Linked DNA regions of Macaca fascicularis. The protein of the gene in region 1 purifies or fractionates together with the protein of each later gene. This does not show direct contact. Links are inferred from orthologs where the notes say so. Each region holds a gene or a part of one and is shown on either strand. Other genes may lie near its edges.

What was found. The genes of interacting proteins can lie anywhere in the genome.
Region 2: the proteins of AMOTL2 (region 1) and NF2 purify together in Homo sapiens (affinity purification with mass spectrometry; 5 studies listed by BioGRID and IntAct, with this or other methods). This does not show direct contact. The link is inferred for Macaca fascicularis from reciprocal best matches to the Homo sapiens genes AMOTL2 and NF2.

The regions. Positions count from the first base shown.
Region 1 is NC_088376.1:37,279,090-37,287,700, reverse strand, and holds the start of AMOTL2 (angiomotin-like protein 2), read left to right. Parts: upstream 1-3,617; 5' UTR 3,618-4,379; intron 4,380-6,509; 5' UTR 6,510-6,570; coding exon 6,571-7,304; intron 7,305-8,611. UniProt on the Homo sapiens protein: Regulates the translocation of phosphorylated SRC to peripheral cell-matrix adhesion sites. Required for proper architecture of actin filaments.
Region 2 is NC_088384.1:22,028,622-22,036,565, reverse strand, and holds part of NF2 (merlin), read left to right. Parts: intron 1-229; coding exon 230-355; intron 356-2,864; coding exon 2,865-2,987; intron 2,988-5,654; coding exon 5,655-5,738; intron 5,739-7,944. UniProt on the Homo sapiens protein: Probable regulator of the Hippo/SWH (Sav/Wts/Hpo) signaling pathway, a signaling pathway that plays a pivotal role in tumor suppression by restricting proliferation and promoting apoptosis.

The DNA.
Region 1 (8,611 bases):
GCCGGCAGGGGCACCAGAAGGAAGAAAAGGGCCACAGAGGAAGGCCAGGGGCTCAAGGAATGTGTGCAGTTTGGAGAGGCAGGGCTTCTTCTTCCTTTGTTTTTGTTTTTGTTTTGTTTTGTTTTGTTTGAAACGGAGTCTTGCCTGTCACCCAGGCTGGAGTGCAATGGCGCTATCTGAACTCACTGCAACCTCTGCCTCCTGGGTTCAAGCTATTCTCCTGCCTCAGCCTCCCGAGCTGGGATTACAGGCATCCACCACCATGCCTGGCTAATTCTTGTATTTTTAGTAGAAACAGGGTTTTGCCATGTCAGCCAGGCTGATTTCGAACTCCTGACCTCAGGTGAGCCATCCGCCTTGGCCTCCCAAAGTGCTGGAGTTACGTGCCTGGCCGCTTCTTCATTTTTTAGGACAACATTCTCTTACCTAAACCATTGTGGGGCCTAATTTCGTAAATGCTCCAACTTCAGAGGATTTAACCCCTAAAGACACAGACCCTGTGAGGCCCTTTGTGCTTAATGGAGATTCCAGACCTGAAGCGTGAGAGTGAAAGGGAGAGGGGGCAGCAGTGGAAGGAGAAGATTTGGGGGAGAAAACCTAGAGGGAGTGATGAAGGGAGGGGTGGAGAAGGGAGTGAAGGGGGGACAGGGGTTTGCAGGAGGACAAAGAGAAGAAAGTCCCCCACTTGGGTCTTCTGCTCTTGGAACTGGAGCACTAGAACTTCCATCCTAATGTTCAGATTCTTCCTATGAATTTGCTTCGTGCTCCAGTAGGCTTCTTGTTCCCATAACCTGTCAGAGGGAGTGTCCAGAGGAAGCTGGAAAAGTGAATTTCATAACTAACAGTCATCCTTTGATCTTGCCACCTGCACCCTGGAGCTCTCCTCCACTAAGCAAGCATTTGGGAAGTAAGGGGAACATTTCCTTCCCAGCTGTATGAGAGGAGGCTACTAGGGTCCCACCAAGAGCTCACTTTCATGTTCTGGTTGGGTGCAGTGAGATGCAGCTGCAGGGCCAGACTGAGGACATAAACCAGGCCCAGACCCAGACCCGGGCTAGGGAGAGGCGATGGTGTGGGTGCCTGAATCCCTTGCTAAGCCATGTACACACCTATGATACAGCCACACCCCAAGGAGCTACACTTCCCAGAGCAAAGGCCTCCAGCCTGGCTTACTCTGAGAATTAGGTCACCTCCGCATCTTTCCTGGGTAGGATTCCTGACCCAGTCAGCCACATTGTCATCTGGGAAGAATCATAACCTGCAGGAGGAAGAGAGGAGGTAAAGGAGAAAGGGACAAAGTAGACTGAGACAAAAGTGGAAGAAGAAAGCACTGGCTCACTAAGAAGCCTCTCTCCCCTCTGCTGTAAGCGAAGATAGATTCGTAGGCAAGCAGCCTGGCCCGCCCAGCGTCCCCTGTGCATACCTGCCTCTGGCACATCTCAACGGTGGTCACCTTCTCAACCAACCACCCTGCAGAGCTGGGATGGCCACCAGCTTAGGCAGGTTCCACGGAGCCTCCCAGCAGCCCGTGCCTGAGAGATCGTGCCCTCCGTTCTTTCTGCAGAGAGAAAGGGAAAGGAAAAATAAAAGTACATGCACATTTCTCATTTAGGTTTTGGGATCCCTCTCCCGCTTCTGTCCCTTTGGGGACAGAAATTAGCAATCATGGGTGCCTGTGTGCCTCCGCAGCAGGCTTGTCGGCTCCAAGGTACCTCCTCCACTCTAGCTGCCTTGAACTGACGCCCTTCTGCAACCATCTCAAGAATATTTGTCAAACATTTTGTCAGGCATCCTCCCAAATGCCTGAAAGACAGGACTGTACCATGCCGTGTTTCCCCCGATTTTACAGCCCCAGAGTTCACATGTCCACAACCACTCCCCTGCCTCCACCAGTTATACTGTCCATAAGGTAAGGCCACTCAGATACCTCTTTCCTTTCACTTCTAAAAGTCCTACCTACAGCGGTATACTGATCACAGCTTCTCTTTGTAAGGGGATCCTTGGAAAGCCAAATATCCCTTAGCTTGGCACAAATGATCCATTTGCTCAATCATCTCAGATTCAATCACTATTTGAAACACAGTGTTTGGCTTCTAAGTAAAACACACACACACACACACACACTTTTTGTGAGTTTCGTTAAAAATTAACAATGTCCCTGGCAATTAAGCTTGCAGAGTTTCCTTGTCCTTGGTTGCCTCCAGTGAATTTGGGACTTGCAAACTCCATATTGAGGGGAGGACCTAGCCAGGGGTAGAAATCAGCCCTGACTATCCTGGTGGACAGGGCCCGACTGCCCCCACCTCACCCCAACTGACTTGTAGAGAGGCCTTGTGTGGCGGGGACGGGGAGAGTGTGTCAGAGCAGGCTTTCTGAAGAAGGAGTTTCCACCTAGCAGAGGAAGTGTCCTGGGGGCAGAGGAGAGGATTCCACGCAGGAGCCACCGAAGTGGGTACAAGGGAAACCCCCTGGCTGGCAGGGGTGTATGGGGAGGTAAAAAAGAGACTAAAACAAGGACAGGGCAGGTGAATAGAGGAGGGCTCCCAGCGTCTGCCCTGTTCATCTAGGGAGCCTGGATTCTGATAGCCAGGGAGGGGTTCTGAGAATAAGAAACCAAGCAGCCCCGTGGCTGATTACCTGGTTCTCGCTGTGTGTGACTCTGGACACGCTGCTTAAGCTCTCTGAGCCCTGGTGTCCTCATTTATAACACAGGAATGATAACAGAACGCCGTTGAAGGGTGGCTTGGCAGGGCTGAATCGGATGGCTGGGCGAAAAGCCAACGGTGGCACACCTTGCGCTCTGAGTAAAGGGGCGCCTATTATCACCTTGGGGAAGAATTGGACAGAGCGCCTGACGACGGGTGATTAAGTTGGGTAGGTGGGTCAAATTGACCGGATTTTCCAACCCAGATTCACACTTCCTGTGGAGACAGGTCGTAAAAGAGCTGGCAAAGGTGTTTGTAAACACAACTGCAATTCAAAAGTTGCCGCTGGGGGTGAAAGCAGCGGGAGTTAGGGGAAAGAGGCTGGGTGGCTAGAAGCATTCACTTCGCCCGGGGCACTCTCCCAGCCCAGAGGATATGGATGTCTTTGCAGTCCCTCCTCCTTTTCCCCCCTCCCCCGGTACACACACACACACACACACACACACACACACACACAGCCGGAGCCCCCTCCCGCAGCAACCTCGGGACACGCGTGGTACAGCCCTTGCTGTCGTCCCGTCGATAGGTTTAGGGATGAAGGGTGAGAGCGGGTCGGCGACTGGGAGTAGAGACGATAATAAGCCGAGTTGGATTAAATTGTCTCCAGCAGCTCCCAAGGCAAAACGGGGGGGCAGGGGCGGACACAGCGCGGCCTGGAGGGCGCTGGGCGAGGAGGAACGGAGCTCGGGGGCCGGCCCGGCGCTCAGCCAGCAGCGCCGCCTCCCCGGAGGAAGGCGGGGGCCGGGAGGAGGGAGCGGGAGGAGGCGGAGGGCGGAGGAGGGCGGCGCGCTGAGAGGTTATTTGTGGTTCGCTTTGATCCCGAGGGGGAACCTGAAACTCTCACATTCCTGGCATAGCAGCCGCCTCCGGCGCGGGCCGACCCTGGGACTGCGCGCTGGGGCGCGAACAGCCAGAGCGTCGGCGCCACGGCCGAGAACACATCTCCGCCGCCGAGCTGAGCCGCGCAGACCAGGAGGTTGTGGTGTCTGACTGCGCCGGGCACCCTCGGGCCGCAGCGGTAAGGAAGGCTGCTCCGCGCTCGGGAGAGCGCGCGAGGCCACAGAAACGTGCCCCAGCCAAAGCTGTAGTCTCCGCGCAGCCCGGCCTTTTCCGGGAGTCGGAGCCCCGAGGATCGAGCGTCCTCGGGGCGCAGTGCGCCCTTTCGAGGCAGCCGCAGTGCTGGGCAAGAGCCGTTCCACGCGGGGAGCCCAGCGCCCTGGGCTTTGCGGGGCTCTAGAAGCGCGCGGGTCCCTTGGGGCTGGGGGAGAGGGGAGCAGGCCGACTCCGGAGAGAAGAGCGACGGTGTTTCGGTTTGCGGGTCGGCTGGGGTGGGGGTGGCGGGGGACAGGGATGGAGGCGCCGCTTGGAGCTCAAGTTGCAGGGTCTTGCGGGCTGATTTGGTTAGGTGGGGGTTACAGGTGCCTTTGCCCCCAACCAGTCCAAGAATTCCTCTTTGTCTTCCTTGGAAAATCCTCTCTGGAGCCACGAATTGGCTCTCACTTAGAAAGAATGCAGCCTGCTGTCCAGCCCGGTGACGTCAGCGTTAGAGTATTTGGAAAACAAAGAGGGCTCGAGAAGGAGGGAGGCGGACCCGCGATGCTTAAAGACCTCTCCGGGCCTCGGGCTACCCTCACCGGCTCGCCCCAGGCGTACCAGCGACCTTCGGTGCTCCAGGTCCGCCCGGGCTCGTGGTGGGGCGGGAGCCCTGGCTGGGGTGCGAGAGTCTCCTAGCTTGGAGACTGTCACTTTGGTTCCTTAGGCGAGCGGGACCCCAGGCCAAGGCTGGAGACGCGCGCTGGCTTAGAAAGGCGGCCTTCTGAGAGCGCAGCAGAGGGGCGCGGCCGGGGGCGAGGAAGCAGGTTTTAGTAAAGGCTCAGGCGTTTGGTGTCTGAAAGGACGTGAATCTGAGGGGCTTGGCCGGGACAAATTCGCGATGAGAGGCCTTGGAGGTGTTCCTTGCTCCCAGTCCGGGCACACTGTGGAGCGCCTGGAATCTGTCGGGAAGGCTCCGCATTCCTTCCTGCCGCTCCCCTGCCTCTGTGGGAGTCGGCCCAGAGAGTGATTATCTTAGGAAATGCCCGCAGATAAAACTCCAGGGCGAACTGAATCCCATGCGAATTGAATCCCATTTGCTTGCTTTGCCTCGGGTAGCTCCGGAGTCTTGCACATCTACCCCTCGTTGTGTGCGGGGGCGGGGGGGAGTGCATGACTCGGTGCCAGGAAGGATGGGTACAGAGGTGCCCTCCAGACTCATCCCCCACTCCCCACCTCTGGGCAGCTGTAGCCCTGGGGTGGGGAGAAGGGAACGATTGGGAATGACTGCTCTGCTAACATGCCATAGCCCAAACTGAAGCAGGACACTAGGGCTAGTTTAGTGGCAGAGGAGGGGCCACATTCCTCCCACCCATCCCCCAATCGCTGCCCACACACACAGGACCTGTGGCAGTGTGGATTCTGTTTAGTTTTCCCTGGAACCCAGTTTGGAGATTTGTGTTGGAAGAGGCTGTGGAAAGGAAGCTGGGTGAGAGAGGCAGGCAGCTTTCCAGTCCATGAGCCACTGGGAGCCCAGACTTAGAAGGGAAATCCTTTCTCTGATATTATCTCCGAGCACTTTAGGCTCACAGTCCCCTCTCCTCTGCCCCAGGTCTCTCATCCAACAACCTCCCCTTACTTCTCCGGTTAGCCCAAGTCAAGATGGGCTTCCTTGACACTGATGTCAAGAAAGATGCTGAGTGCCTGTCCCCTATGTGCCTAGAGGACCAGTGGGGGCTTTTCCAAGTAGCAAGTGTGTGTGTGTGTGTGTGTGTTGGGGAGGATAATCATAAAATCAAAGACATCATGCCATCCTTTCTTTTTCCTGGAGCTCTCTTGCAGTTACTGTCAGCACAAAGCCTGACCCACTAACCTTAATGGGTGGCACCCTTTTGCCTCATCTCACAATACCATTGTCCTCTTGGAGCATTTTTATTCATCCCTTATTCACCAATTCAGGTGCAATTCCTCCTTCCTCCTGTTAACCTTGTGGAGTGACTGCCAAGGTCGTCCCATGACAGGGAGCCCCAGATTCATTCTGTCAGCAGCGCTTGATGAAGCAGAGTCCAGGCCCATCCTCCAGGAGCTCTCTGGTTCAGGGAGAGTGAAAAAAGTGGGCAGGGGTTCAGCGGGCTAGAGGGTGGTAGGTTGATTGTGCCAAGGCTGGGCTCTGGCATGCCTCAGTGTAGAGTGTCCTGGGGGCCTTTTGCCTAGGGCTTTTCTACTGGACTGCATGCATTTTTTATCACCTGCCAATAAATTGGGGCCCCATCCACCCCTAGACTGAATAGCTAAGTGGTTAGATCTGAACTAGGCCGGCCTTGGAATTGCCCATCAGGCTGTTTGATGTGTAGCTGGCTGTACGGGCGGTGGTTCCTGGTGCGTTATCTTCTGGTTTCCTGTTGTCTCTCTCCAGGAATAGTAAGTCACCATGAATGTTATCACAGTCATTGTTTACCAGGATTTTCACTGTACCAGGAGCTCACAGGCCACTGCCTCTTTTTATTCTCATCTCCATGAGTCAAGCAGAATTCTTTGCATTTTTCTGGTGGAGAAACTGAGGCTCAGAAGTTAGATAACTTGTCTTAATCAGTAGATAGCAGCACTGGTACTTGAATCCAAGCTTATGTGACCTGCCCCACCCCTGCTCTTCACTTTTGTGCTTTCCACCAGAGTAATAATGGAAATCCTGGAAAACCTTCTCCTTTCCCATGGACTCCCACTGATTGCTTTTCTCTCTCTCTGTCTCTCTCTCTCCCCACCCTCCTCTAGGTGCTCTGGGGCCAGGTGCCACCGGCCATTGTCCAGGCAGCTGTGTGCAAGCCAGAGAAGCATGAGGACACTGGAAGACTCCTCGGGGACAGTCCTGCACCGCCTCATCCAGGAGCAGCTGCGCTATGGCAACCTGACTGAGACACGCACGCTGCTAGCCATCCAGCAGCAGGCCCTGAGGGGTGGGGCAGGAACTGGGGGCACAGGGAGCCCCCAGGCCTCCCTGGAGATCCTGGCACCAGAGGACAGTCAGGTGCTGCAGCAAGCCACCAGGCAGGAGCCCCAGGGCCAGGAGCACCAGGGCGGTGAGAACCACCTGGCAGAGAACACCCTCTACCGGCTGTGCCCACAGCCCAGCAAGGGAGAGGAGCTGCCCACCTATGAGGAGGCCAAAGCCCACTCGCAGTACTATGCGGCCCAGCAGGTGGGGCCCCGGCCACATGCAGGGGACCGAGATCCCCGTGGGGCCCCCGGAGGCAGTCGGAGGCAGGATGAGGCCCTGCGGGAGCTGAGGCACGGGCACGTGCGCTCCCTGAGTGAACGGCTCCTGCAGTTGTCCCTGGAGAGGAACGGCGCCCGGGCCCCCAGCCACATGAGCTCCTCCCACAGCTTCCCACAGCTGGCCCGCAGCCAGCAGGGCCCCCCACTGAGGGGCCCCCCTGCTGAGGGCCCAGAGTCCCGAGGACCCCCACCTCAGTACCCTCACGTTGTACTAGCTCATGAGACCACCACTGCTGTCACTGACCCTCGGTACCGTGCCCGCGGCAGCCCGCACTTCCAGCACGCTGAAGTCAGGTAACTCTCCCCACCTTGGGCTTTCCAGTTCCTGGCTTATCCTCCAGCACAGGCTGTCAGGGAGGAGAGCCTCAAGATCACAGCTTGTGTCAGAGCTGGCCAGATCCCCACCCCACCTCCAGGCTTCCTGAGAAGGGAGAGCTATTGCCTGGCAGAGAAGAGAGATGTAACTGAGGTCCCCTAAGAAGTTAGTGGCGTCCCTTGCCTTAGTTCAGAGATAGGCACCATTGTCTGCTGAGCTTGAGCATTCTAGTAACTACCGTCCCCAGAGGACACAAATCGCAACAGGCGGTTAAAGGTTAGATTTCAGAAATAACTTCCTAAAGGCAAGGTTGGGAATCATTGCCAAACTGTTTCCAAGTTAAGTAGGAAGAAGGTGGGACCTCCTTCTCTGGAGGCTTTTTAAGAAAATGTGAGCAACTTGCCTTCTATGATTATTGGGAGGCATTCCTAACTAGAAGCTGGAAAGGCCCGGTGGCCTCATTACAGACGTCTCTGCATCTTACACCAGCGCAGGAGCTTCCCTGTCTCTCCTCCCCATTTCCTGCCGTACGCTTCCTGCATCTGCAGCCTGCAGTGGGACAGGATTCTGGGTCCGGGTGGGCCTCTTTCTGGGGAGGCTCAGGAGAGGCTGCTGGGTCAGGGCAGGGACTTAGAGTTTGATTCTGAGTATGCTGGGAGGCCCTCGGGGGATGTGATTTGGTTTTCCTTTTCTAAGTGCTCTTTCTGGCTACCATGCAGAGCATGGTTTGTGAGGGGCCAAAATGGAAGCAGGAAGACTTGGGGGAGGCAAGAAGTCTAGAGAGTTTGGAGAAATGAGTGTTCCTAGAAACAAGGCCCCACCTCAGGCTTCTCATCTGGCCCGCATCTTTTCAGAGAAGCAGACACAGCCATCACTGCTGCATCTCCCCCTGTGGGAGTCCAAGAAACCCCACCAAGGGACCCCAAGGATTTCAGACTCTTCCTCTGGTGGCCCAAGGTCAAAGTCTGGTTCTCTTCATGCCTGCTGAGTTTTCCTTTAGTCACCCACTTTCCCACCGTCCGGCCTTTCCTTGCTCTCGAGAAATGTGTGACATGATGGGGTTGGTATGGCGGAACAGAGGATGGAGCCTCTTGGTTTTTCTCCAGCCTCCACCCCCTCCAGACTCGCACCTTATCGCCCTTCTCAGGGCTCGGTCAGGAAGAGTTTCGGAAGCTGAGTGGTGGTTTCTTCTTTTGGACCAGCCTTATTGAACTCTGTCAGGAAAAGATAGTAATCGTGGCAAGGAAGTAGACTGTTTGCAGGAGAACAAAAAGCGGGGGAGGGA
Region 2 (7,944 bases), on another chromosome or scaffold:
GTGTATGCTTTGCAGTGATTAAGCCATTAAGCTCTAATTGGTATTTTCCCACTCATGGGTTTGTGAAGGAAGCTTTAAAATTATTTAGGAATTCAGTCCTCATCAGCTGTCTTAGTATCATCCCCACGTTTTGGAATCTGAGAGTGGGAGAGTGCAGAGAAAAGGTTTTTGTGCAAGTGGATTATGATTTTTGCTCACAGTGTCCTTCCCCATTGGTTTGTTATTGCAGATGAAGTGGAAAGGGAAGGACCTCTTTGATTTGGTGTGCCGGACTCTGGGGCTCCGAGAAACCTGGTTCTTTGGACTGCAGTACACAATCAAGGACACAGTGGCCTGGCTCAAAATGGACAAGAAGGTTGGGCTAGATCACGATGAAACTGGTGGGGCTGACGTGTGCTTTCCAGTTTTTCCCTGAGCAGGCGCCTGGCTCATCACTGGGGCGCTGTAACTGTGTAATGGAGAAGGGGGCACATTCCTGAATTAAGTCATGCAGAAAGCAGGACCTGGAGATGCTACTGGTTTCCTACTCCTCGCAGGCTCTCCTGGGCAAGCAGAAGTTACCAGGATTAGACTGCTGCTGGCCCTGGCTTTTTTACCCATTGTTACCAGCCTGATAGCTTCTGGCTTTATGCCTTTCAGTTTATGAATAAAAACTTTATGAATAAAAATTACTGTTATCTTCTTATACTTAAAAATAACCAATTTGTGTCTTTTGGAGAGTATTGGGGCTTGTGTTCTTTAGGAAATTTTTAAAAGTCTTTTTGAGAAACACCATAGTCTGACATGAATTAATCATTAATATTATCTAAGGAATAGAGAGTGCCTGGTCCCCAGGGTGAAAGAATGTCCGTTTTGTCCTCAGGATTCTCTGGGGCTTCTGAAGCATGGCAAAGCAAGCTGGGCTCCTGGCAATTTTAATGTGGCTTGGAAATGAATATTGCCTAAGGGAACTGCCCTCCGCATGGGTTCATATATTCACACAGAGATACACTTGCTTACTGACCTGCCTACCTAGCCATGAAAAGCAGGTAGGGAGTAGCACTGTATGCTTTTGTCAGTAACTCCTAAAAGACACCTGAACTTCAAAGTAAGTCAATGTCTAATTCTTACTCCAAATGATGCCCCCTCAGTTGCCTACCTGAACATGATAAATAATGAAGGCTTTCTATTTTTTTTTTTTTTTTTTTTTTTACCAGTTTGACTCAAAGCTTAAGTGTTCAAATTGTGTTCACATATGTACACAGTAATCTAAATCATCACGTTAGAATCCCTGCTGGTTGTAAGTTCAATGGTAATTCCCAATAATCATGAGCATCTAAGTGCCACTGGGGGCCATTGTCAGTGAGGGTATCATAGACCAGATTTTGAATCTCCTTGGCATTGCCATCTAGAATTTGGGCAGGAGCATGGAGAGTTATGTGTCAAAGACAGCAAAACTTTTTGTATATTTTTCATGATTCTTAGCAAAGTGAATTTTAATCATAGCTGAGTGGGGGCACCAGGAGCCATGGAACTTGCTGCTCAAGGGAAATACATTATGACACATGTTTTTTTTTTTTTTTTTTTTTTTTGAGACGGAGTCTCGCTCTGTCACCCAGGCTGGAGTGCAGTGGCACTATCTCGGCTCACTGCAAACTCCGCCTCCCGGGTTTACGCCATTCTCCTGCCTCAGCCTCCCGAGTAGCTGGGATTACAGGCGCCCGCCACCTCGCCCGGCTAATTTTTTGTATTTTTAGTAGAGACGGGGTTTCATTGTGTTAGCCAGGATGGTCTCGATCTCCTGACCTCGTGATCCGCCCGTCTCGGCCTCCCAAAGTGCTGGGATTACAGGCTTGAGCCACCGCGCCCGGCCCATTACGACACATGTTAATGGAGCCTTGTAGCCTGTCACATGGCATGTTTGTGTCTTGAAATTCACTCTGGAGAGCAGACGGTTCAAGCTTTACAGGGGTGAATGGAATTGTTAGAAGATTAAAGGCAGCGGTTTACAGACTGTGCTTCAAGTATTTTGTGGGGCATCTCTGGAGGTTCCTTGAAACAAAGGGTTGCCATGATGGACACATTTTGCTTCTGTTGCTCAGTTAATGTTTAGATGATTTCATAATGATCTAGTTCATCATCTCTAAGCTGTATTCTTTTTTTTTTTTAAGACAGAGTTTTGCTCTTGTTGCCCAGGCTAGAGTGCAATGGCGCAATCTCGGCTCACTGCAACCTCCACCTTCCGGGTTCAAGAGATTCTCCTGCCTCAGCCTCCTGAGTAGCTGGAATTACAGGCTTCCACCACCACACCTGGCTAATTCTTTTGTATTTTTAGTAGAGGTGGGGTTTCACCGTATTGGCCAGGCTGGTCTTGAACTTCTGACCTTAAGTGATCCACCCGCTTCGGTCTCCCAGAGTGCTGGGATTATAGGTGTGAGCTACCGGCCCGGCCCTCTAAGCCGTATTCTAACCTGGACCTAAATATTGGCAGTAGGCAGCAAGAAAAAAGAATAAAGGAAGATTCCACTACTTCAGATAATTAAAAAACCTTCCACTTACTATAAGGACAGTGCCCAAGACTACTGAGTGATAAATTTCTAGTTTTTAACTATTCTGTGGCCCTGAGAACATTTATGCCTTAATCCTAGCTCTGCTCACTTCTTGGGGCTATTGATTAATTTGTTTCAGAAACACCATGGGAAGTGAATATTACCTCTTTATGACTTTGTGAATGCTTCAAACTGTAGAATCACAACTTTCAGGAAATGTGATAAATTTAGTGGGAAAAGAATTTAATGCACACCTTGCAAAAGCTTCTTTGAGGGTAGCACAGGAGGAAGAAGTGCCAATATAGTGTGTTTGTCTTTTGCTCTGCAATTCTGCAGGTACTGGATCATGATGTTTCAAAGGAAGAACCAGTCACCTTTCACTTCCTGGCCAAATTTTATCCTGAGAATGCTGAAGAGGAGCTGGTTCAGGAGATCACACAACATTTATTCTTCTTGCAGGTACATCAGTCCAGGCTACCCCCCAGTTCTGAGAGAACTTGCCCAGGAATGGTTGCAGAGTTGGCCTCAGAGTTGACCACAAACACCTTTGTATTGCAAAAATATTCTACCTCTGGAAAGTCAGCTCCTTTGGTTCTGTAATGGAAAAAAGTCTTCAGAACAGAACTATACTTGAGTGATGAAAATTGGTGTCAGATGAAATTGTGAAGGTGTGATGGTGAAGAATGGATACAAGTAGCTACCTAACTTAAAATCTCCTTGAAAATGGATCCTGTTTTCTTCTAGCTAACTTAAAAGTACTCAATCGTTTCAAAGGAAGGCTAAAGAGAGAGTCGTATAAAGCAGTAGTTCTTCCGAAAGTTTAAAATCCGCTCTCATTAAGAGAGAACTTCAGCCGGGCATGGTGGCTCATGCCTGTAATCCCAGCACTTTGGGAAGCTGAGGTGGGCGGATCACGAGGTCAGGAGTTCGAGACCAGCCTGACCAACATAGTGAAACCCCATCTCTACTAAAAATACAAAAATTAGCCAGGCGTGATGGCCCATGCCTGTAATCCCAGCTACTCAGGAGGCTGAGGCAGGAGAATCACTTGAACCCAGGAGGCATAGGTTGCAGTGAACCAAAATTGAGCCACTTCACTCCAGCCTGGGTGACAGAGTGAGACTCTGTCTAAAAAAAAAAAGAGAAAACTTCAGAGTTCTAGTGACACTCAGTTTGTCCCCCATATGTGGTACTTCAGACATCATGCTTCATGCTATGCTGTGTCCTTAATTGTCCTGTTTCTTCCTTACTTCCTCATTAGATTGTAAGCCCCTTAAAGGCAAGGCTCATTAAGTGCACAGTAGGCATTCCATAAGTAATTGTCCAACCGAATTGAAGAAATTAGGAAATTCATAATTACAAGTTGACCATTCAGAGGCACAGGGAGGGGAACTGGTCTGAGGATGAAAACCTTATCAGTTTCACTTATGTTCTTACTGCAGGTCAGAGTGGTCCCCCAGTTTCATGGCCAGTTTCAGTGATTGGCACGGGGGCTATTTGTGTGCTCAAAGGTTTCAGTAATGTAAAAGATGGCAGTAGGGGCGTTAATTACGTGATTTCCCAGAGATAGATGGGTAGTCTGTCACATAGCCCTCCTGTAATTAATTTCAGCCTCAGTATATTGTGTTTAGCAAATATTAAGTTAAATATAATAAGACCCCCTAAATTCTTTTTTAAAAAGGTCTGGGGTGTGTGTGTGTGTGTGCGTGCGCACGCAAAAGAGGTGACAAATTTATTTCAGATGTTTTCAAATCAAAGGGACATTCTTAGGCTGGGCGTGGTGGCTCACGCCTGTAATCCCAACACTTTGGGAAGCCAAGGCGGGCAGATATCTGAGGTCAGGAGTTTGAGACCACCCTGACCAACTTGGAGAAACCCCGTCCTTACTAAAAATACAAAATTAGCCGGGCACGGTGGCACACGCCTGTAATCCCAGCTACTCGGGAGATTGAGGCAGGAGAATTGCTTGAACTCAGGAGGTGGAGGTTGCAGTGAGCTGAGATCGCACCATTGCACTCCAGCCTGGGCAACAAGGGCGAAACTCCTTCTCAAAAAAAAAAAAGGGACACTCTTTCAGTTTTTCTATAGTGTTGCTTTTTTCCCCCTCTCTTTGGAAATGAAACCAAGGGATTAGAAAGTTTCACTGCTTCAGAAACATCTCAGGTTTCATTTTCTCTCTTAAGAATGTAAAATCGCTTTTAAAACCTGAGAAGAATTTTTGTGTTTGAACGAAAGCACATAACCATCTCCTAGGTCCCAGAATGTCCTAATGTTGTAGAAATGGCTTTCTTGTAAGCACTTGGAAGCACTGCCTGTCTCTTGTGTGACTTTGGCTTGATTTTCCCTATACTGAAATGTTAAGGCATTTTTATGACTGAGCAAGGCAAAATTTACTGCTTTTATGAATCCGGTGACTGTTGATATCTGTGAGAGGAGAGCTGGCTTTCCTGTTGTGTTTATTTCAATGTCCCCCCTACCACGTCATGCCGTTGTCTTGCTTCTGTGTCTGGAACATGCCAAGTTGCACCATTCTAAGAAAATCAAGTGCAATGAAATATGTTAATTCAACATTATGGCTTAAGAATTATATTTCCTGGACCTCACGTGTACTTAAAAGTTGAATCGATCAAATTTTATTGCTTCCTTTTCCCTTAGAGCAGCATGTTGAGAGTGATGGTTTTTTTCTGCAGTCATAACTCAGTGGCCTTGGTGACTTTTGTCTTGTGTTAATACTTAAAAGTAGATCCATTTCCTCTGGGACCGTGTGTATTCAAAGGGACTGAGGCTGCAGTCACCCCCAGAGCTGCTCTTGACACTTCTTGGGTTCATGGTGCTCTGTCACACAGCCTCTATTGTAACTACAGAGACCATTTTTACTCTTCAGCATTGATCATGAAGAGAAGAGGTAAGGGGGTTTTTATGCGTAGCCGTCATACCAGTAACTTCTGTGACTGAACTCTCCACCTGTCTGCATCAGTAAAAAAATATTGTATCCTTTGTCAGAAAATTATTAACAGGCTCCTCTGGCAGCCCTCATTAGAATGCCGTGCAGCCATCTGTTGTGATCAGCCTATACACCTCACTTCCACGCACACAGTATCATGTCCCCCTTGTTGCTCCTTTCAGGTAAAGAAGCAGATTTTAGATGAAAAGATCTACTGCCCTCCCGAGGCTTCTGTGCTCCTGGCTTCTTACGCCGTCCAGGCCAAGGTAGGCTCAAAGAAGGAAAATGTATTCTTCCTGGGGGTTAATTTGGGTTATGGGATCACTCCTATCTTGTCTTTCTTTGGGTTTTCTGTACTTCAGAGAGACTTGCCCCAGAAAGTGAGATGTTATGGGACTTGTGGACTTGGGAGAACCACTGTCGCTGTTCCAGTGTTTGTATGATCGTGTGTGTGTGTGATGTGCACAAATTATAAGTATCATTCTAATGAATTAGAATTCATTCTAAGTGAATTCATTCAGCAAGATGAATTTTCTGTGTAATCTCATTATGTACATGTGGTTTATGACATTTACTGGACAAACCTTTTTTCTTTTTACCATAAACTCAACCATGTGGTACAACCTTTCTATTAGCCAGGAAAAATGAATTTGTGGTCTCCAGTTTTAGCCAAACATGGCCTTTAAGTCAGAAAGGCCCAGGTCCTCACTCCGAACTCATTTGTGAACCGGCTGCCCTGTGTGACACTACACTACACCCTCAAGAGAATGCCCTGCTTCATCTGCCCCTGATTGACATGCTAGCTGTTCATGTGGCTGAGCACTGCAGGTGCTGTGGCCCACCAGGCCCAATTGAGCTGTCTGGTTAGCTGAAAATCGTTGACTTCCATTAAACCACTGTAGACCTTTTTTTTCCCCCTCCCCCCCCCAGACGGAGTCTCACTCTGTCACCCTGGCTGGAGTGCAGTGGCGCAATCTCAGCTCACTGCAAGCTCCGCCTCCTGGGTTCCCACCATTCCCCTGCCTCAGCCTCCCAAGAAGCTGGGACTACAGGTGCCCACCACCACACCCAGCTCATTTTTTGTATTTTTCATAGAGACGGGGTTTCACCGTGTTAGCCAGGATGGTCTCGATCTCCTGACCTCATGATCTGCCCACCTCGGCCTCCCAAAGTGCTGGGATTACAGGCGTGAGCCACCGCGCCCGGCCTAGACATTTTTTTTTTTTTTTTTTTTAACAAGACCAATGAGAGAGTCAGCCAGGGTGTTTCATGTCCCTCAGATTTTTCACTTCAGTCATATATCACCTTCTCTTGGTTTCCCTGCTCCCTGCCTTTCACCAGAGCACAAGATGTTGTCCCCAGAATTGGGACTCCTTGATTATTTGTGTGATTTTATTTTATTTATGTTTTATTTTTATTTTTATAGAGATGAGGTCTCACTATGTTGCCCAGGCTGGTCTCAAACTCCTGAGCTCAAGTGATCCTTCTACCTTGGCCTCCCAAAGTGCTGGGATTACAGGTGTGAGTCACCACGCCTAGCCTTACTTGTGTGATTTTAAAACATAATCTTTTCACTTATTTTTCTTTTTAATTATAGGTGTTCATGAAGTCATTTCCCTATACGGTTAGAAAAATTAATAAAATACTCTTAGCTCACTTTTTGGGGTAGATTAATGCAATTTCAGATGAAAGCCAGGAAGTAACTGTCATTTGTAGGGGGGAAAAGGCTATATGTGCTGGTCAGACCAACAGAAGCACTAAAGTCAATTTAATCATTTGGTGGCTCATGTAATGTTTGCTGAGTATTCACCAGGCCCGGGGTGGGGAGGGAGCATGGGAGTAGTTGACCGTCTCATAGGCAGGCACTAAAGCAAGTATCTGCCGTCAGTGATTTGCCCAAGGTCATTCAGACAATCTTGGGCAAAGCTAAGGGCAGAAGGGCGGAATTCATGGCTTTGGGATTGCATTTTGTGCCTCCCATATTCTACTTCCCTGAAAAATGAGTAATTGAGAAAACAGAAAATGGGCCCTCATTCAACTAAAACATATGCTTCCTTTTATGCTTTGATCAAGAATATTAGCAAGAGGAAAAATGTGTCCTTTCAATCAGTATCACCCCGACAGTGATGAAGCAGTTATTGGCACTTTGATTAAATCCGAGCACTTCCTAGCCTGGAGTTGAGTTCCTTTTCACACACTTTCTCCCCAGTGAGAGTAGACCCGGGCTCTCAAGGACACCACCTCTCTTTGAAGGGCTTCCATCTCAAAGGCTATATTTTCTTTCCATGGATTTTTGGGCCACAAATTCAAAGGCCACCTGTAGAAAAAAATCACTTTTCAGGGAACCAGCAGATGTTTGCTTAAACAGATTTCACTGTAGGAAAGCCCTGCTAATTTGGATCCTACTAATTTGGAGATGAAAGTGATTCACAGACAACATATGTGGCTCACATGGAGGAGGATGTTCTAGCT